Linked DNA regions of Nothobranchius furzeri. Each later gene encodes a partner of the first gene's protein in a complex. Links are inferred from orthologs where the notes say so. Each region holds a gene or a part of one and is shown on either strand. Other genes may lie near its edges.

Region 1 (5,011 bases):
CAACGTCAAAGAGGATGCAGATCTCTGTATTTTGCTGTCAGGCTGCTGCCGATCTTCTCAGGTGTTTTTCTTCACCCCAAGACCTTCTGGACTCGAGTTCTTCTCACCTCAGAGAAGACGTCGTCTTTCTTCTGACCTCCTACATCCTTGGATTTGAATCTGGTTTCTGCAGCTGCAGTCTGCAGAGAGCTGGTCTTCATCACATACAGCGTCCCGACCGACTCGACGCTCTGGGCCGACTGGGCCTCCAGCTGCCTCATCTGAGGGAGGGTGCCAAGAATGAGTCCGGCTGAAATTCCTCCTCACAAAGGTCCGATTTATCCTGATTTACCTGTTTATCCAGGTTGACGTAGCTCTCCTTGTCCACCTGGTACTCGCTGTACCCACCACAGGAACCTTTGCAGGAACGGAGCTTAATGTCGATGTCAACCTGACAGAAGACAAGGTTGGAGAGATGAATCTGGGCAGCAAATACTCAGATAACCCTGCACCAGTCAGGTAGCTCTGATGTTAATCTATCTATAACTAGACTAGAGTTTTTGGTGGCAGCAGAACAACATTTAAAGCTTTGTGGGAACTTCATGGAAAATTGGACGTTATTTGTTACAGAATGAATTTAAACTCCGGTTAGACTCCTCTGATGTTTGCTTCTAAACAGCAGGAGGATCTTTTGGGTCTAATAGGTGTTTTTGTTGTTTTAGTAACAGGAAATTACCTAATTTAGCTAATAGTTTGATGTTCTGTTTGTTAATCTTTATATTTTCTATGTTCAGATAAAAACAGCTGATTCGTGTCGTTTTCAGGACTAAGACTTTGTTTTTGTCCCTGCAGACTCTCCGTACCTCCAGCCTCTGCATCTCGGTGACCTGGTTTTTGACCCGATTCTTCAGGGCAGCCAGAGTGTTCATCTGATTGTCGATCCTGATCTTCATGTCGGTGATCCTCTGTCGGAGGCTTTGGGCCAGGTCGTAGTAGTTGTTGTTGTTTCCTGTAGTCAAACATGTTCATGATCAGCTCCAACCAAACACCCTCCTACCTTCTCCGAGTCTGTTTCTCCTCGCTTTCCTTCTTAAAGTGTGTCAGATATGAAAGGTTTCTCCTCAAACGGACCAGAATCGGTGGTGAGTCTGTCCCGTAGGTAGTCGTAGGTCTGTTTGGACACCTGGTCGGTGGAGCGATGCTTGGCCTTGTTCTGGTTCAGGAGGCTGCGGATCTTCTCGATCTTCTTCAGCAGCTCATGGTCCGCTTTATCCATCAAGCCCTGAATCCTGCAGCCTGACGGGCATTTGGAGAGCTGGTGGAGCACAAAGCAACAGTTTGAGCGTCAGACACCAAGGAGGGATTAAAATCTGTGGAAGGCTCTTCGTGCCACTAAAGACATTTAATCTGTCATGTGAGAAGTTGGAATTAAGAGTTTCAACGTTGGAGTGATCCTTCCTGCTCTCCTGAGCATCAGCAGCTCTGACGGGTGGATTATGAGGTGATGAAGAGCAGAATTACCCAGTCATCATCGGTGCAGAAGGGCCACTCCTTCTGGGTGGAACATTTGTCTGATCGGGTAGCAGGCTCCACAGGACGGGCTCCTCTCGGGTCAACCTGAGACGCAACCTGTAGTAGATGAAATGGACACTAATGTAGCACCAGAGTGGAAGACCCTAGCACGCACCTGTTCACCCGATGAACCACGTCTCGTTCAGGGGTCTGAAATCTGCGGCTCTGGAGCTACTAGTAGCTCGGTGGGCCTTCCACCACGGCTCCTGGTTACTTTAAATGTAGATAAAATAAAAAAAATGCAGCTTTTCGGTTTTTGTGTCCAAAGACGACATCATGGTTCTCTCTTATAACTGATATTTAGAGAAGATTCAGAGAAACAGTCACAATCCTAACTCTAATCTCAGAAGTCTGAGGCCTTGTTTTACGTTTCTCGGCAAATATAAATGATTTTAAACGCTCCTGCATCAGCTGCAGCTCTAAACCGATGTTCTTCCAGCGGTCTGGGTAGGTCCAGGTGGCTTTGTGGGTTTCTACTGGTTCATCTTAAATTCTAACTTTCTCAGTATAAAACAAACGTTTAAACACAAAACCTGATAAATATTATGAGATAACGAGGAAAACCTCTCAGATCTTCACTTAATATTCACCAGCAACTATTTTAATGTATTCATTATAATGTTCTGAAATGTCCCAGATATTTGGGAAGTAAAAGACGACCTTCTCAGAATACATTTGGTTCTGTTGTCAGAGGAAGAACGTTTGGGAATTTTTGAAATTTTCCTGTAATTTCTTCTCAATAAAACCAGAACATATGTCTTATTTATTTACTCAGCTCAGTCATTTTTTTCCTTCAGATTCAAGTAAATAATTCCGTTTTTTTCTATCAATTTTAAAGTCAGCCAGAAAAATATAATTATATTCTTGTAATTTCTGCCTTTAAATGAAAGATTTTAACATTTTTTACGAAATTATCAGGAAAAATGTAATTTCCTTTTATTCTACATTCACACTAATGGCATCCTCCAGTTTCTGCCCAGCCTTTATTATTATTAATTATTTATTATTATTATTATTATTATTATTGTTATTGTTATTATTATTATTATTTTTATAAAAGCTGCATTTTCATTCAATAACTCGTACAGACAAATAAACATTAAGAGTATCTGGTTCTAGATTTGGTCAAACAGGATGAATTTGACCAGTTAAACCAGTCAAACTTACAGGTGAGATCATTTCATGAATTTTCTAGAGGATAAAGTGGAGCTCACCTGAGTCACAGCAACACACACCAGACAGACCAGTAACCTCATCATCTTCATCTCTCTGGTTCTTCCTCTGAATGTTCCTGCTGCCCCGCTGCCGGGTCTTATCAAGCGTCCGACCTCAGAACCTCCGTCAGGTCCGGTCAGAGTTGAGCAACGACCTCCTGCTCACACCGACCGTCTGTTTGTTGTACTTAGTGTGTCTGAACTCACAAAACTAACACACAAAATACACAAAAACAACCCAAAACACACCGCTGAGTCAGCTGTTCCCACACAGGTGAGTAAAGCTGCAGGAACATCTGACCTGCTGACCCATCAGGGATCAGATCTCTTTTATAAATGTGTGTGTGTGTGTGTGTGTGTGTGTGTGTGTGTGTGTGTGTGTGTGTGTGTGTGTGTGTGTGTGTGTGTGTGTGTGTGTGTGTGTGTGTGTGTGTGTGTGTGTGTGTGCGTGTGTGTGTTTTCTGGGACTATGATGAAATTAGAACAGTTTAACACAGAAACCAGAACCAGCTTGGCTTCCTGGGGCTGGAGGAGGGAGATCTGGCCGTCTGGTTGGGGTCTGGGGTGGTGGGTTGCTGTGCTCAGCGTTGGGCGGGGGAACCTGCTCATCAGCACCCCAGCAGAAAGGGTCAAACTCTGGGAACCGGTAATGGTTGTACCCCATGTGCAGCAGTACCGGGACCAGAGTGAATAGGGTGTGTATGGGGAGCATGAGTGGGTGTCCGGCGTGCATTTTTGTAAGTCTTTGGTTGTATGTGCATGTGTGAGCATAAGGGAGGGAGTGTGTGACTGTGTTTGTGTATGACTGCATATGTCAGGTGGCGCCTTTGACTCCTCCCCTCTCCTGGGACTTCTTTTGATGATATAGATCTTCGCCTCCCCTCTGCCTGCCACACCTGGTGTGGGGTGTGGTGCCTTGGTCTGCCTGAGTGTTCGTGGCTCCCAGGTCAGGGGGTTTAAGATTTTTGGCGTTTGCCTGATCAATCCCGGTGGCTGCCTGGTGGGGTCTGGGTCCCTGGGCTCTGCTGGGTCCCCGGTGAGGGTGGTCGCCCCTGGGCCCCGGGCTTGGCCGGTTGCGGGGTGGGAGGCTGCGGGCGGGCCTGTGGGCTTGCCGCCGATATCTTCCAGAACTCCACCGGCTGCTGGTTGTGGCCACCCGAGGCTTTCCTCTGCGCCTCTCGAGGGGGGCAGGGGCTTTTCTTGTTGCGGTCTCCTTGGGGTTCCTGTGCTCTGGGGCAGCTCCCGGATCTCTGGGACTTGGAGCTCCCTCCATCTCCTACGTATCTTTGGGGGGAAGATCTGTGGCCCCTCATACTCTCTATTGGACGCTCCTATAGAAAAACCTTACATATACAAACGCGTGTACGCACACAGGTGCTCACATGGTGCTCTCATAAGTATGGACTTGGGCACGTTCAACACACGTCTTAAGGCTGTGGTTGGCACTAAATGCACTGTGATTTATTATCGTGTGATTGTTCAGTTAAACAATGTTGATTTTTACATTTCTTCATCAAGTTGACACAGTGATAGCTTACTCCTGTTGTATTGTTGTGTGTCCCATTTCTGCAGGTCTAGAAGCAGACTGTTCATCATTGATTGCTTATTTTCGTGCAACCCCTGTCACATGCTGCCACAAAACAAACTGCCTACAAGCAGCGTGTCTGAACTGGTGCTGTTCCAGCCATGGTGCAGGGCAATCCTCCAGAGCAAAAGTGTCATTCAGGCAGCCTGAGCCAACTGCAACACACCTTTCACTAAGATGTAGTAGTCCATGTACGCCATCGTACTGATGCATGCCTGTAGTGGTTGTCGGCAGCATTTTCTCTCCAGATCAGTGTCCGTCTCCCACATACCCACCAGTGGAGTCCAGCAGCTAATAGGCTCTGAATGCTGGGGCACGATGTCAAACAAGTTTTTACATCAATGTAAAGGTTTAATTTACATTTTATTTAATGAGCCATAAGACATTAGATTCCATAGTAAATATGAAATCAACCTTATGGATCTGTGGGTACTGTTTAACCAGAAGATTGGAACTTTTTATTGCAGGGATTATGTAACAACTTCGTATTCACTCAGAGACAACAGAAGAGAGAGTCAAGTTTTAAAAGTTTAAAGATTTATTACTAAACAAATTAAAACTAGACTAACTTTAAACACTAAATGTACGGTGTAACTAAGGTGAAGTGAGACAGAGAATGGTGTCGTGTGGAATGTTGTTCAGAACCAGCAAATCCGAAGAA
Region 2 (5,019 bases), on another chromosome or scaffold:
CATGCATGAGCAAAAGCAAGAAGGAGAAAGGTGATCCATACCCTCTGGATCACAGTGAAGCCTCTTCCGGAGCTGTCAATCTCACAGTAGACCAAGAACTGCTCTTGTGCTTTTATTGGCTTCACATAGTAAAGACCGCTAGTGGTAGCACCTTTGTTTGCAACATCCTGGCAGTCTGAAGAGAAGAAAATAAATCAACTCAAACATGTTGAGACGAAGTTCCTTTACTTAATTTGATGAGACTCATAAATGAAAGGTTAAGGCTAAACGATTAGGGCTAAAATGAGCACGTGTCCTCTGCTTGGATGATGCATATTGATTTCAGCCTTTGAATAAACACTGAACTGGGACAAATGTTGTTCAGTTGAGGGCAGATTGAGAAACTTATTGTGAAACAGGAATGGCCTGAAGGTCAGAGTGTGTCAATGTGTCTTTTTTTTTTTTTTACCTGTTCCTGTGGTAGTTTGGATCTCAACTGTGTCTCTGCAGGGTTCACTGCATTTTTGCTGCAGCTGCATTGCAAGCGTCTTCAGATCCCCCATTGTCCTCTCATTAGAGGAGATTAAATCGTTAAGCTCCCTGGAAACAGCGTCACAAACATGGGTTGTGTCTAAAAGTCACTTTATTGCTTTGTAACCACAACTTTGGAAATATGCCAGTAAGGATTGTCATGTTTATTATTGACAGTGGAGACAAATGGAGAAAAAAAAATGAAGAAGAATAAACTAAGAATGAAACTGAGAAAAAAATGGGCTGGGAAATTTCTCAATGGCTTGATTTAAAGGGGACATGATATACAAAACCACCTTTTGCATCCTTTAGTGTTAGCAGGCAGATCTCTACTGCCTCTATAAAAACTCCACATGTAGCAAAAATGCATTGATGCGTTTTTTTTTGTCAGGGTTTGGTTTTGAGAATGATGTGCCTAAAACAATCCGTTTCAAAAGGCCCTCGTTTGTAAGGTCACAAACTGGGAAATTAGAATAGAACCACTTCTCACATGTAAGAGAGGGCTGCTGCTGGAGGAGCAGCAGTTCTACTCCAAGCCCCTCCCAGACATCAGAGCTTCTCAGCCTATAGGAGCCTGAGCAAGGTTGGGTGGGCATGGCCAGCTCCAGTTTGTGATAGAGACCTTGAAACGGCTCATTATGGAAGTTCTGGATCTGACAAATATAAAAATCTCTGAGAAGGCTTCATGTGAGAAGATTTCAGTGCAAACAACTTTAAAAACACGTCTTGTATCGAATATGTAACTTAAGAAAAATAATTATATATTGTATCTGTATAATTTGTTTTGAAATAGATTTTCAAAAAGTTTTTACTTCTTCCAGATGACTGAAATTACTTTTCTATTATGAATGATGACTACAATGTTCTAAAAGGTGTCACAGTTTTTGAGAGTGTTCTTTTTGGATAAAATACAAGACAAAAAAGTAAAAGAATATAACAACTCACTAATACATGAAGCTGGAGGATATGAGTTGTGACGCCTCAAAAGGCATTTATGTCATTTATATTTTATGTTTCATTTAAAGTTATTCATTTGTATGTTTTTAAGTTATAAAGAACAGTGAATAGGTTAAAATGTTAAATGGGAAGATTTTATTTTGAAGGTGAACTTACTAATAATCTCACTTCCTGCTGGGTTACCTGTATTGGTTAATTTCCTGTTTACCTCCTCTTACTGGCTGCTCTGAGAGTGAGAGTGGCATGCGGTCATGCTCTGAGGCTTATCCACAGCCAACCACTTGGGAATGTTGTTAAAAAATACAAAAACAAAACTATTTTATTTGTGTTCCACAATGATTGATTTGTACATGTTAAAAGAGGAATTTGTTTGATGGTCATTTTCTTTCCTCAGGCTAATACAATTACGTCAAGTCTTATTTTGAGCTAGTTTGTGAGGCAATATTTATGTAAACATGATAATTTATTCTGTTCTGTATTTGTTTTCAATTACAGTTTTCACCGCTTGTCAAATGAAGGCTCTAAGAGTAAAAGGTCAACTCTACTCTGACTCCTTTACTATTTGACAAAGGTTTAGCTTGGTGTTTACTCAGAGTTGCTACACTGCAACAGGACACTACATGAGTGTTTTAAAAGAAAGACGCACGCATTAGTTTACTTTCTACAAATAAACTAATGAAAAGATGTGAAATATTGAACTAAAAACTGTAAAATAACATTTAGCTGACATCATGTCCTCACACACTAGAAACATAACGTCTAAATGCTGACCGTAACTCACAGAATTTGCTGTTCTTGTGCAATAATAGTCTTTTCAAACCGAAGGACATCATCCAGCATGCTGGAGGACCTCTTAAAGTACGGATCTGAAAATCCCAACAAACCAGATTAGTGACACAAACAATCCTCTCGTGTAAAATCTCATCTGTGTTTTACTGAACATATAAAACACTAAGGATAAAATCTAAACTGGAGTCTGAACCAGATGATGATGTCACCTGTCAGTGAAGATTTCTGAGCTGAAGTGGCCGAGTCTCGCATGTACACAATGGTTTCATCGGCTCCTTGAGTCAAATTTGTGATGGTCTCCAGTTCTGCTTGCATCGTCTTCAGGTCCTCGTTGACTCCAGGAAAATACCTCAGAAAGTAATCAGCAACGCCACACGTGGTGGGGCAATACTTCCCCTGAATAAATACAGAAACAAAAAGTTAGACTGCAAAAAAAAATCACTAAGTATGAGTTTGTGATGAAGTTAGACACTTACAAAGCCATCATTCATGTTGCATGATGCACTATTGTCTCCTCTGACTTGCTGCACACATAAAAACAAACGTCAGTATAATTTTTCTTCACGAATAAACATTTTACATAAAATTAAAGCCACTTACAGCTGAAGAGAGTGAGAAAAGTAGGAGAAGAACTCCTGTTGTTGCTTCTAGTGATGATGCCATGCTGATTCAGCCACCAGTTTGTGGTTTTTTGGGAGAGTGAAGAGCTGCTGGACTCCGAGGGTTATTTATCTGAACAAGGTCCCCCGATCAACCTTTGATAAGAGTGTCCACATGCAAACATCCCACTCACTTTGTTGTTCCAGACCTGTGAGTCAAACGTCCGACCGCAGCTGATTCCCAGATGTGACGCTTTCGAATGGACAGTTGGGTTTAGAACATCTGCGTGAGTGTGTGTTGGTTAGAGGTCCTGTGTGAATGATGACACAGGTGTGTTTTGTTCTTTTTGCTCATATTTTCCCGTCAAGATAGTAATTTATTTGGTACATTAGTAAAATCTTTACTTCATTGATTTAAAATTGATTTAATGAAGGGCTGCTGGTGAAGTATATGCTACGTTTTGGCCTTCATTTGCAGCTGGTGGCATTTGTGAGCACACTAGTTCTTGAATAACTCCACTGGTGCAAGCTTGACTTTTCTCATATCAGCTGCAGCTTCAGGATAAACATTACCCATTAGGGCAGCAGCAGCTTAACAGGTTGAGCGGGTTGTCCAGTTATCGGAAGGTTGCAGGTTTGATCCCGGCTCCGGACAGAGAATTCTGCTGTTGTGTCCTTGGGCAAGACACTTTACCCACCTTGCCTGCTGGTGGTGGTCGAAGGGACCGGTGGCGCCTGTGCTCGGCAGCCTCGCCTCTGTCAGTGCGTCCCAGGGCAGCTGTGGCTACATCAGGGCTCATTACCATCAGTGTGTGAATGTGTGTGTGAATGGATGAATGATACACTGTAGTGTAAAGCGCTTTGGAGTCCTTACTCTGAGAGGCGCTATACAGGTGCGGGTCATGTATCATTTACCCCCAAAGTATCCCTCAGTAATAATATGTATTAAATAAACCTGAGCTATCAACGGGGCTTGCTGTTCTTTCAGTGTGTCTGCTTTTGTGTTCTTCACTAAATAGGATCTTTTCCAATCTGATTTTCATTTTAGTAAAATGTGGGACTGTACGTAACAAGAAAGGAGAAATTTCATGTATTTTAAACAGTTTTCTACTTTGCTACAAGTTAAAATATGTGATTGTTTATACTGTGAACCCCAACATCTTCTTGAAAGGCTCATGAACTTGGTGGGACTATATGACACAGTCCATAGTTGGTTCATATCTCACAGACAGGGGTTATGTTGTTTCTATAGGTGATCACAAAGCAAAGCAGATCACCATGACACGTGGGGTCCCCCAAGGCTCAATTCTTGGACCACTGCTCTTCAATCTCGACATGCTCCCCTTGGGTAAGGTATTATGCAACATTATCTGTAGGAGCCATATGTGTTTTCATTTTCTTTCTGCATACCTGAGAGGAGGCTTGGCCTCATTTGATTGGTCAATTGATTGTGGAAGCACCAGCCTACTTAAGCCAACACAGATTAGACTCAGGTGTTGCTGTGATGGGACAAACAGTTTTTTATTGTGTGGCTGTGTGTAACGGACTCTGCGGACTGTCATTGGGGCAAGTAATGCATTCACTGTAAACCACTTTAATTGCAAGTAAATGGATCATGGACATTTTGGAACAAGACAAAATAATAAACATCATCAGAAATAAACACAAGCTGCAATTCTTTTAAACACATGTAAAGACCACCACCCGCATCAGTAACCAGTAGTGCCAGTGTATAGGGCATTGGTATTACATTTCATTATTTATCATAGATATGTAGTTGACCTAAAGATCTCCCTAGCTCTATCACCTAGGGCAGCGGTATTCAACTCCGGGTCCAGGTCTTCTGCTGCACCTTCTGCACTGTAACTGTTTAACTTAGACTTTTAATCTTATTCTTACTACCAATTTTATTGGTATTTTAAAATTTGATTTTATAATCTGCTGTTGTCACGTTGATTTTAATGCTTTTTGTTCTTTCTGATTTTGCACCTGGAAAGGACATTGAATTGTTTCTGTGTCTGAAAGGTGCTATATAAATAAAGCTGCCTTGCCTTTTTTATCTTTCTGGGTGTTGGACAGGAGAACAGTGCATGATGTACCCGGCGTCTCGTTCGCTGCCAGCTGGATTACACTTTAGCCTCTGTGACTCAACATACAAACAAAC
Region 3 (4,914 bases), about 220 kb from region 1:
GTTGGTTAGTTTTGACCTAAACAACCAATAACGACTTGAAGGTTCCAGGCTTTAATACAAGGTTGTAGTTTGTTTATTTCTTTTTAGCTGCTTTAAACTATTTTGTCACATTTAAATTTCCTAAAATTAGAAAATGTGCAAAACTACTTTTTATTTTAACAGCAGTTTGGCTGAAATGTGTAAAAATATTCATTTCCTGTTTGTCTGAAACAGAGTAGCAGGTTACAAACAAGACCCCATAATTCAGGTATGAAATTGAAGCCAACACAGAAGTGAAACAGTTCCACCCTCATCCACTAGGGGCAGCTGTCAGAAGTGAGCTAATCCTCATTGACTCCCATTATAAAAATACCAATTTCACAGCAGAAATAAACATGTTTACAGCCTGGTTCCAAAACACGTTTAGGTTTAAAATATCTAGTTTACACTCATGACAACTCGGGGGGGGGGGGGGGGGGGGGGTTTACTCACTCTTCTGTTTAAGTGTAGTAAAAGCCTAAAATTCTGAATAATTAATGAGCATCCGACCCACGTGATCACATAGCTAGCTCCGTGGAAAGGCCTCAGCCTGAGCCTTAAAACTGTTCCGTGAGATGGGATGGGATCTTCATGCCCTGGGTGGCATTTTGGCAACGGAGGTGCCTATTAGGGCCAGTGGGGGAGCTGACTCCCTGGAGGGCTTAGGCCAACCAGCCATTCTTCCCCATCCCCACACATTTTTCTCCTCCTGCTCCCTCACATCATCACACAAACATGCACATAGGACTTTTGGGGGGGAAAGGGGGTCAGGGGGTGCAGGTATAGACCCCATTTCCACATTCCTGTGGCAGCCTGCCCCCCAATTTTATTTGCACACTAAACACTTCCACCACCAGCAGCGGAAAACTATCTGAAAGCAGCACGGTGAGTTAGCATGAAACATCTTTGTTTCAGAATGTCACCGACTGAGATTCTTCACATAATTTAATCTCAGTCTTTAAAATGTCTTTCTAGATTATTTCAGGTATTTTTATTGGTTTTGTACTTTTTCACTATTTGAGGCCACTTTTAATCCTTTAAGTGTAATTTCTGATGATTTGACATCATTCTGGTGATTTTTACCTTCAACCATTAAACTTTTAATGCCAGAAAGGTCATATTGAGACAACAAATCATCTATATTTAATGAAACACATGATGAAGGAAGGTGGGATTACACCAGCAACCCTCAAAGTGGGAAAGAATTTTCCTTGTTACAATATTAATAAAAAAGGTACATATTTGGAAGTTTATCTCATTAATCCCTTATTTGTGTGCAGTGGTTTACTGTATTGTTATTTTAATTCTGAGCTGAAGTAATAATAAAAATGTGCAATGACTCTGTTGGAGGTCTACGTGGAGTTTGTTTAAGCTGGTCACTCATTGCTGTCCTTATTTATTATAAAAACCTGAATTATGCTTGTCAGAAAAAATTGAACTTCTAATGATGTGATCGTTCCACAGCAGACAACTTTTCCTCAGATTTATATATTTACTTTATTTTGATTTGAATATTTGGACTTCCAATGACATATCTTTATTTTCAACAAACAATAAAAGTTTATTGTGATTTTTTTAATTTAAATGTTACCATTTGGAAGCCGAGTTGGCTCCTCCTTGAAACATCACCTTATCGTGGTGGAGGAGTTTGAGTGCACTAATGATCCTAGGAGCTATGTTGTCTGGGGCAATTTGTGCCCCTGGCAGAGTCTCCCAAGACAAATTGGTCTTAGGTGAAGGGTGAGACAAAGAACGGTTCAGAGGATCGTTCAGAGGATCTTTCATGAATGTAAATTCAAAGAGTCGGAGTACCTGGCCCGGAGGGTTACCGGGGTCGCACCCTGAAGCCAGGCCTGGGGTTGGGGCCCGTGAGCGAGCGCCTGGTGAAGGGCTTTCGCCCATGGGGCCCGGCCGGACCCAGCCCAAACCGGATACATGGGCTCATCCAACTGTGGACCCACCACCCGCAGGAGGAACATGAAGGGTGTGTGGATCGGGTGGCAGACCAAGGCGGGAGCCTTGGCGGTCCAATCCCCGGACAAGGAAATTGGTTTTTGGGACATGGAACGTCACCTCGCTGGCTGGGAAGGAGCAGGAGCTTATGGCAGAGGTTGAGCAGTACCGGCTAGATATAGTCGGACTCACCTCGACACATAGCATTGGCTCTGGAACCCAAGTCCTTGAGAGGGGTTGGACACTCTCCTTTGCTGGAATTGCTCCGGGTGAGAGGCGGAGGGCTGGGGTTGGCTTTTTGTTAGCCCCAAGACTCTCTGCCTGTGTGTTGGGGTTTACCCCGGAGGACGAGAGGGTAGCTTCCCTGCTTCTTTGGGTAGGGGAACATGTCCTGACTGTTGTTTGTGCTTATGGGCAAACATCAGTTCAGAGTACCCACCCTTTTTGGTGTCCCTGGGACGAGTGCTAGATAGTGCTCCATCAGGCGACTCAATTGTCCTGCTGGGGGACTTCAATGCTCACGTGGGCAATGACAGCTTGACCTGGAGGGGTGTGATTGGGAGGAACGGCCCGCCTGATCTGAACTCGAGTGGTGTTTCATTATTGGACTTCTGTGCAAGCCGCAGTTTGGCCATAACGAACACCATGTTCGAACATAAGGATGCACATCGGTACACTTGGTTTTTTGTAGTCGTATCATCTGACCTGCGGCCGTATGTTTTGGACACCCGAATGAAGAGAGGAGCGGAGCTGTCAACTGATCACCACCTGGTGGTGAGTTGGATCAGATGGCAGGGGAAGATGCCACGTAGACCTGGCAGACGCAAACAAATAGCGAGGGTCTGCTGGGAACGCCTGACAGAAGAACCTGTCAAGACGGTCTTCAACTCCCACCTCCGGCAGAACTTTGACCGCATCCCGAGAGCAGTGGGGGACATTGACTCAGAGTGGGCCTTGTTCCACTCTGTGATTGTTCAGACGGCTGTTGCTAGCTGTGGTCGCAAGGTGGCCGGTGCCAGTCATGGTAGCAACCCCCGTACTCGCTGGTGGACACCAGAGGTTCGGGGAGCTGTCAGGCTGAAGAAGGAGGCCTACAGGGAGTGGCTGGTCTGTGGGTCTCCGGAGGCAGCAGACATGCACCGGATAGCCAAGCGGCGTGCAGCAGTGGCAGTTGCCGAGGCAAAGTCTTGGTTTGGTGAGGCCATGGAGAAAGACTATCGATCGGCTCCAAAGAGGTTCTGGCAAACTGTCCGGCGCCTCAGGAGAGGTAGGCAGCAACTTGCTCACACTGTTTACAGTGGGGATGGGGAGCTGCTGACATCAACTGGGGCAATAGTCGTATGGTGGAGGAAATACTTTGAGGAGCTCCTCAATCCCACCTATGCACATTCCGAGGAGGAACCAGAGCCAGGAGACCTGGGGATGGACTGTCCAATCTCAGGGGCAGAAGTTGCTGAGGTAGTCAAACAACTACACAGCGACGAAGCACCGGGGGCAGATGAGATTCGTCCTGGGTATCTCAAGGCTATGGATGTTGTAGGGCTGTCGTGGTTGACACGTCTCTGCAACATTGGGTGGTCATCGGCGGCAGTTCCTGTGGAGTGGCAGACCGGGGTGGTGGTCCCCATCTTTAAGAAGGGTGACCTGAGGGTGTGTTCCAACTATAGGGGGATCACACTCCTAAGCCTCCCTGGAAAGGTCTACTCCAAGGTACTGGAGAAGAGGGTCCGATCGATAGTTGAATCTCGGATTGAGGAGGAGCAATGTGGTTTTCGTCCTGGCCGTGGAACTGTGGACCAGCTCTATACCCTTGCAAGGGTGATGGAGGGGGCATGGGAGTTTGCCCAACCAATCCACGTGTGTTTTGTGGATTTGGAGAAGGCTTAGGACCATGTCCCCAGGGGCACCCTGTGGGGGACGCTCCAGGAGTATAGGGTAGGTGGCTTTCTGTTAAGGGCCACTCAGTCCCTTTACCAGAGGAGCGTGAGTTTGGTCTGCAAAGCTGGTAGTAAGTCGGACCTGTTCCCAGTGAGGGTTGGACTCCGCTAGGCCTGCATTTTGTCACCGGTTCTGTTCATTACCTTTATGGACAGAATTTCTAGGCGCAGCCGTGATGTGGAGTGTGTCGAGTTTGGTGGCAGGAGAATCTCGTCTCTGCTTTTGCGGATGATGTGGTCCTCCTAGCGTCATCCAGCTCTGACCTTCAGCTCTTGCTGGGTAGGTTCGCGGCCGAGTGTGAAGCGGCTGGGATGAGGATCAGCACCTCCAAATCTGAGACCATGGTTCTCGACCGGAAAAGGGTGGCTTGCTATCTCTGGGTCGGGAGAGAGGTCCTACCTCAAGTGGAGGAGTTTAAGTATCATGGGGTCTTGTTCACGAGTGAGGGTAGGAGGGATCTGGAAATTGACAGGCGGATTGGTTCGGCGTCTGCAGTGATGCGGTCGATCTACGTCCAAAACCTCACCTATGGTCATGAGCTTTGGGTAATGACCGAAAGAACAAGATCGCGGATACAAGCGGCCGAAATGAGTTTCCTCCGTAGGGTGGCTGGGCTAAGCCTTAAAGATAGGGCGAGGAGCTCGGGCATTAAGGAGTGACTCAGAGTAGAACCGCTGCTCCTCCGGATCGAAAGGAGTCAGTTGAGGTTGTTTGGGCATCTGGTCAGGATGCCTCCTGCACGCCTCCCTGGGGAGGAGTTTCAGACATGTCCTGCTGGCAGAAGGCCCCCGGGTTGACCCAGGACACGTAGGAGAGGTTACATCTCTAATCTGGTCCGGGAACGCCTTGGGGTCCTGCCGGAGGAGCTGGTGGAGGTGGCCGGGGAGAGGACAGTCTGGAGCTCCCTAGTTGGGATGCTGCCCCCGCAACTCGGACCCGGACAAGCGGAGTAAGACAACGATGACGAGCCGAGCTGTGAGAATCGGTTCTATTAAAAGAGCCGGA

What was found. Proteins that work in one complex are often made in the same cells at the same time.
Region 2: the proteins of fga (region 1) and fgg are in contact, whole or in part, in a crystal structure (PDB 3GHG), measured with the Homo sapiens proteins. The link is inferred for Nothobranchius furzeri from reciprocal best matches to the Homo sapiens genes FGA and FGG. Residues at the interface, in NP_000499.1 of Homo sapiens: Trp60, Asn61, Lys63, Cys64, Pro65, Ser66, Gly67, Met70, Leu73, Ile74, Val77, Asn78, Phe81, Arg84, Ile85, Leu88, Ser91, Tyr95, Asn98, Leu105, Ile109, Ile112, Asp116, Ser119, Arg123, Asp124, Tyr127, Val130, Ser131, Asp133; in NP_068656.2 of Homo sapiens: Thr47, Thr48, Cys49, Gly50, Ile51, Ala52, Asp53, Leu55, Tyr58, Gln59, Val62, Asp63, Leu66, Gln67, Leu69, Glu70, Leu73, Thr80, Ile87, Ile90, Gln91, Tyr94, Glu98, Asp106, Ala107, Ala108, Thr109, Leu110, Ser112, Arg113.
Region 3: the proteins of fga (region 1) and fgb are in contact, whole or in part, in a crystal structure (PDB 3GHG), measured with the Homo sapiens proteins. The link is inferred for Nothobranchius furzeri from reciprocal best matches to the Homo sapiens genes FGA and FGB. Residues at the interface, in NP_000499.1 of Homo sapiens: Ser66, Gly67, Cys68, Arg69, Met70, Lys71, Gly72, Leu73, Ile74, Asp75, Glu76, Asn78, Ile85, Leu88, Lys89, Leu92, Gln96, Leu113, Phe117, Tyr127, Arg135, Ile138, Leu141, Lys142, Val145, Lys148, Ile152, Gln156, Val159, Gln162; in NP_005132.2 of Homo sapiens: Ala89, Pro90, Asp91, Ala92, Gly93, Gly94, Leu105, Cys106, Pro107, Gln111, Leu112, Leu116, Gln119, Ile123, Ser126, Leu130, Val134, Val137, Trp155, Arg158, Gln159, Val162, Asn170, Tyr172, Ser173, Glu175, Leu176, His179, Gln180, Tyr182.

Annotation. Positions count from the first base shown.
Region 1 is NC_091742.1:90,961,013-90,966,023, forward strand, and holds the start of fga (fibrinogen alpha chain), read right to left. Parts: upstream 2,923-5,011; 5' UTR 2,817-2,922; coding exon 2,766-2,816; intron 1,609-2,765; coding exon 1,501-1,608; intron 1,295-1,500; coding exon 1,111-1,294; intron 989-1,110; coding exon 843-988; intron 431-842; coding exon 332-430; intron 261-331; coding exon 108-260; intron 1-107. UniProt on the Homo sapiens protein: Cleaved by the protease thrombin to yield monomers which, together with fibrinogen beta (FGB) and fibrinogen gamma (FGG), polymerize to form an insoluble fibrin matrix. Fibrin has a major function in hemostasis as one of the primary components of blood clots.
Region 2 is NC_091744.1:17,238,497-17,243,515, forward strand, and holds the start of fgg (fibrinogen gamma chain), read right to left. Parts: upstream 3,014-5,019; 5' UTR 2,920-3,013; coding exon 2,857-2,919; intron 2,781-2,856; coding exon 2,733-2,780; intron 2,653-2,732; coding exon 2,466-2,652; intron 2,334-2,465; coding exon 2,249-2,333; intron 580-2,248; coding exon 449-579; intron 176-448; coding exon 42-175; intron 1-41. UniProt on the Homo sapiens protein: Together with fibrinogen alpha (FGA) and fibrinogen beta (FGB), polymerizes to form an insoluble fibrin matrix. Has a major function in hemostasis as one of the primary components of blood clots.
Region 3 is NC_091742.1:90,742,917-90,747,830, reverse strand, and holds the start of fgb (fibrinogen beta chain), read right to left. Parts: upstream 3,014-4,914; 5' UTR 3,004-3,013; intron 1-3,003. UniProt on the Homo sapiens protein: Cleaved by the protease thrombin to yield monomers which, together with fibrinogen alpha (FGA) and fibrinogen gamma (FGG), polymerize to form an insoluble fibrin matrix. Fibrin has a major function in hemostasis as one of the primary components of blood clots.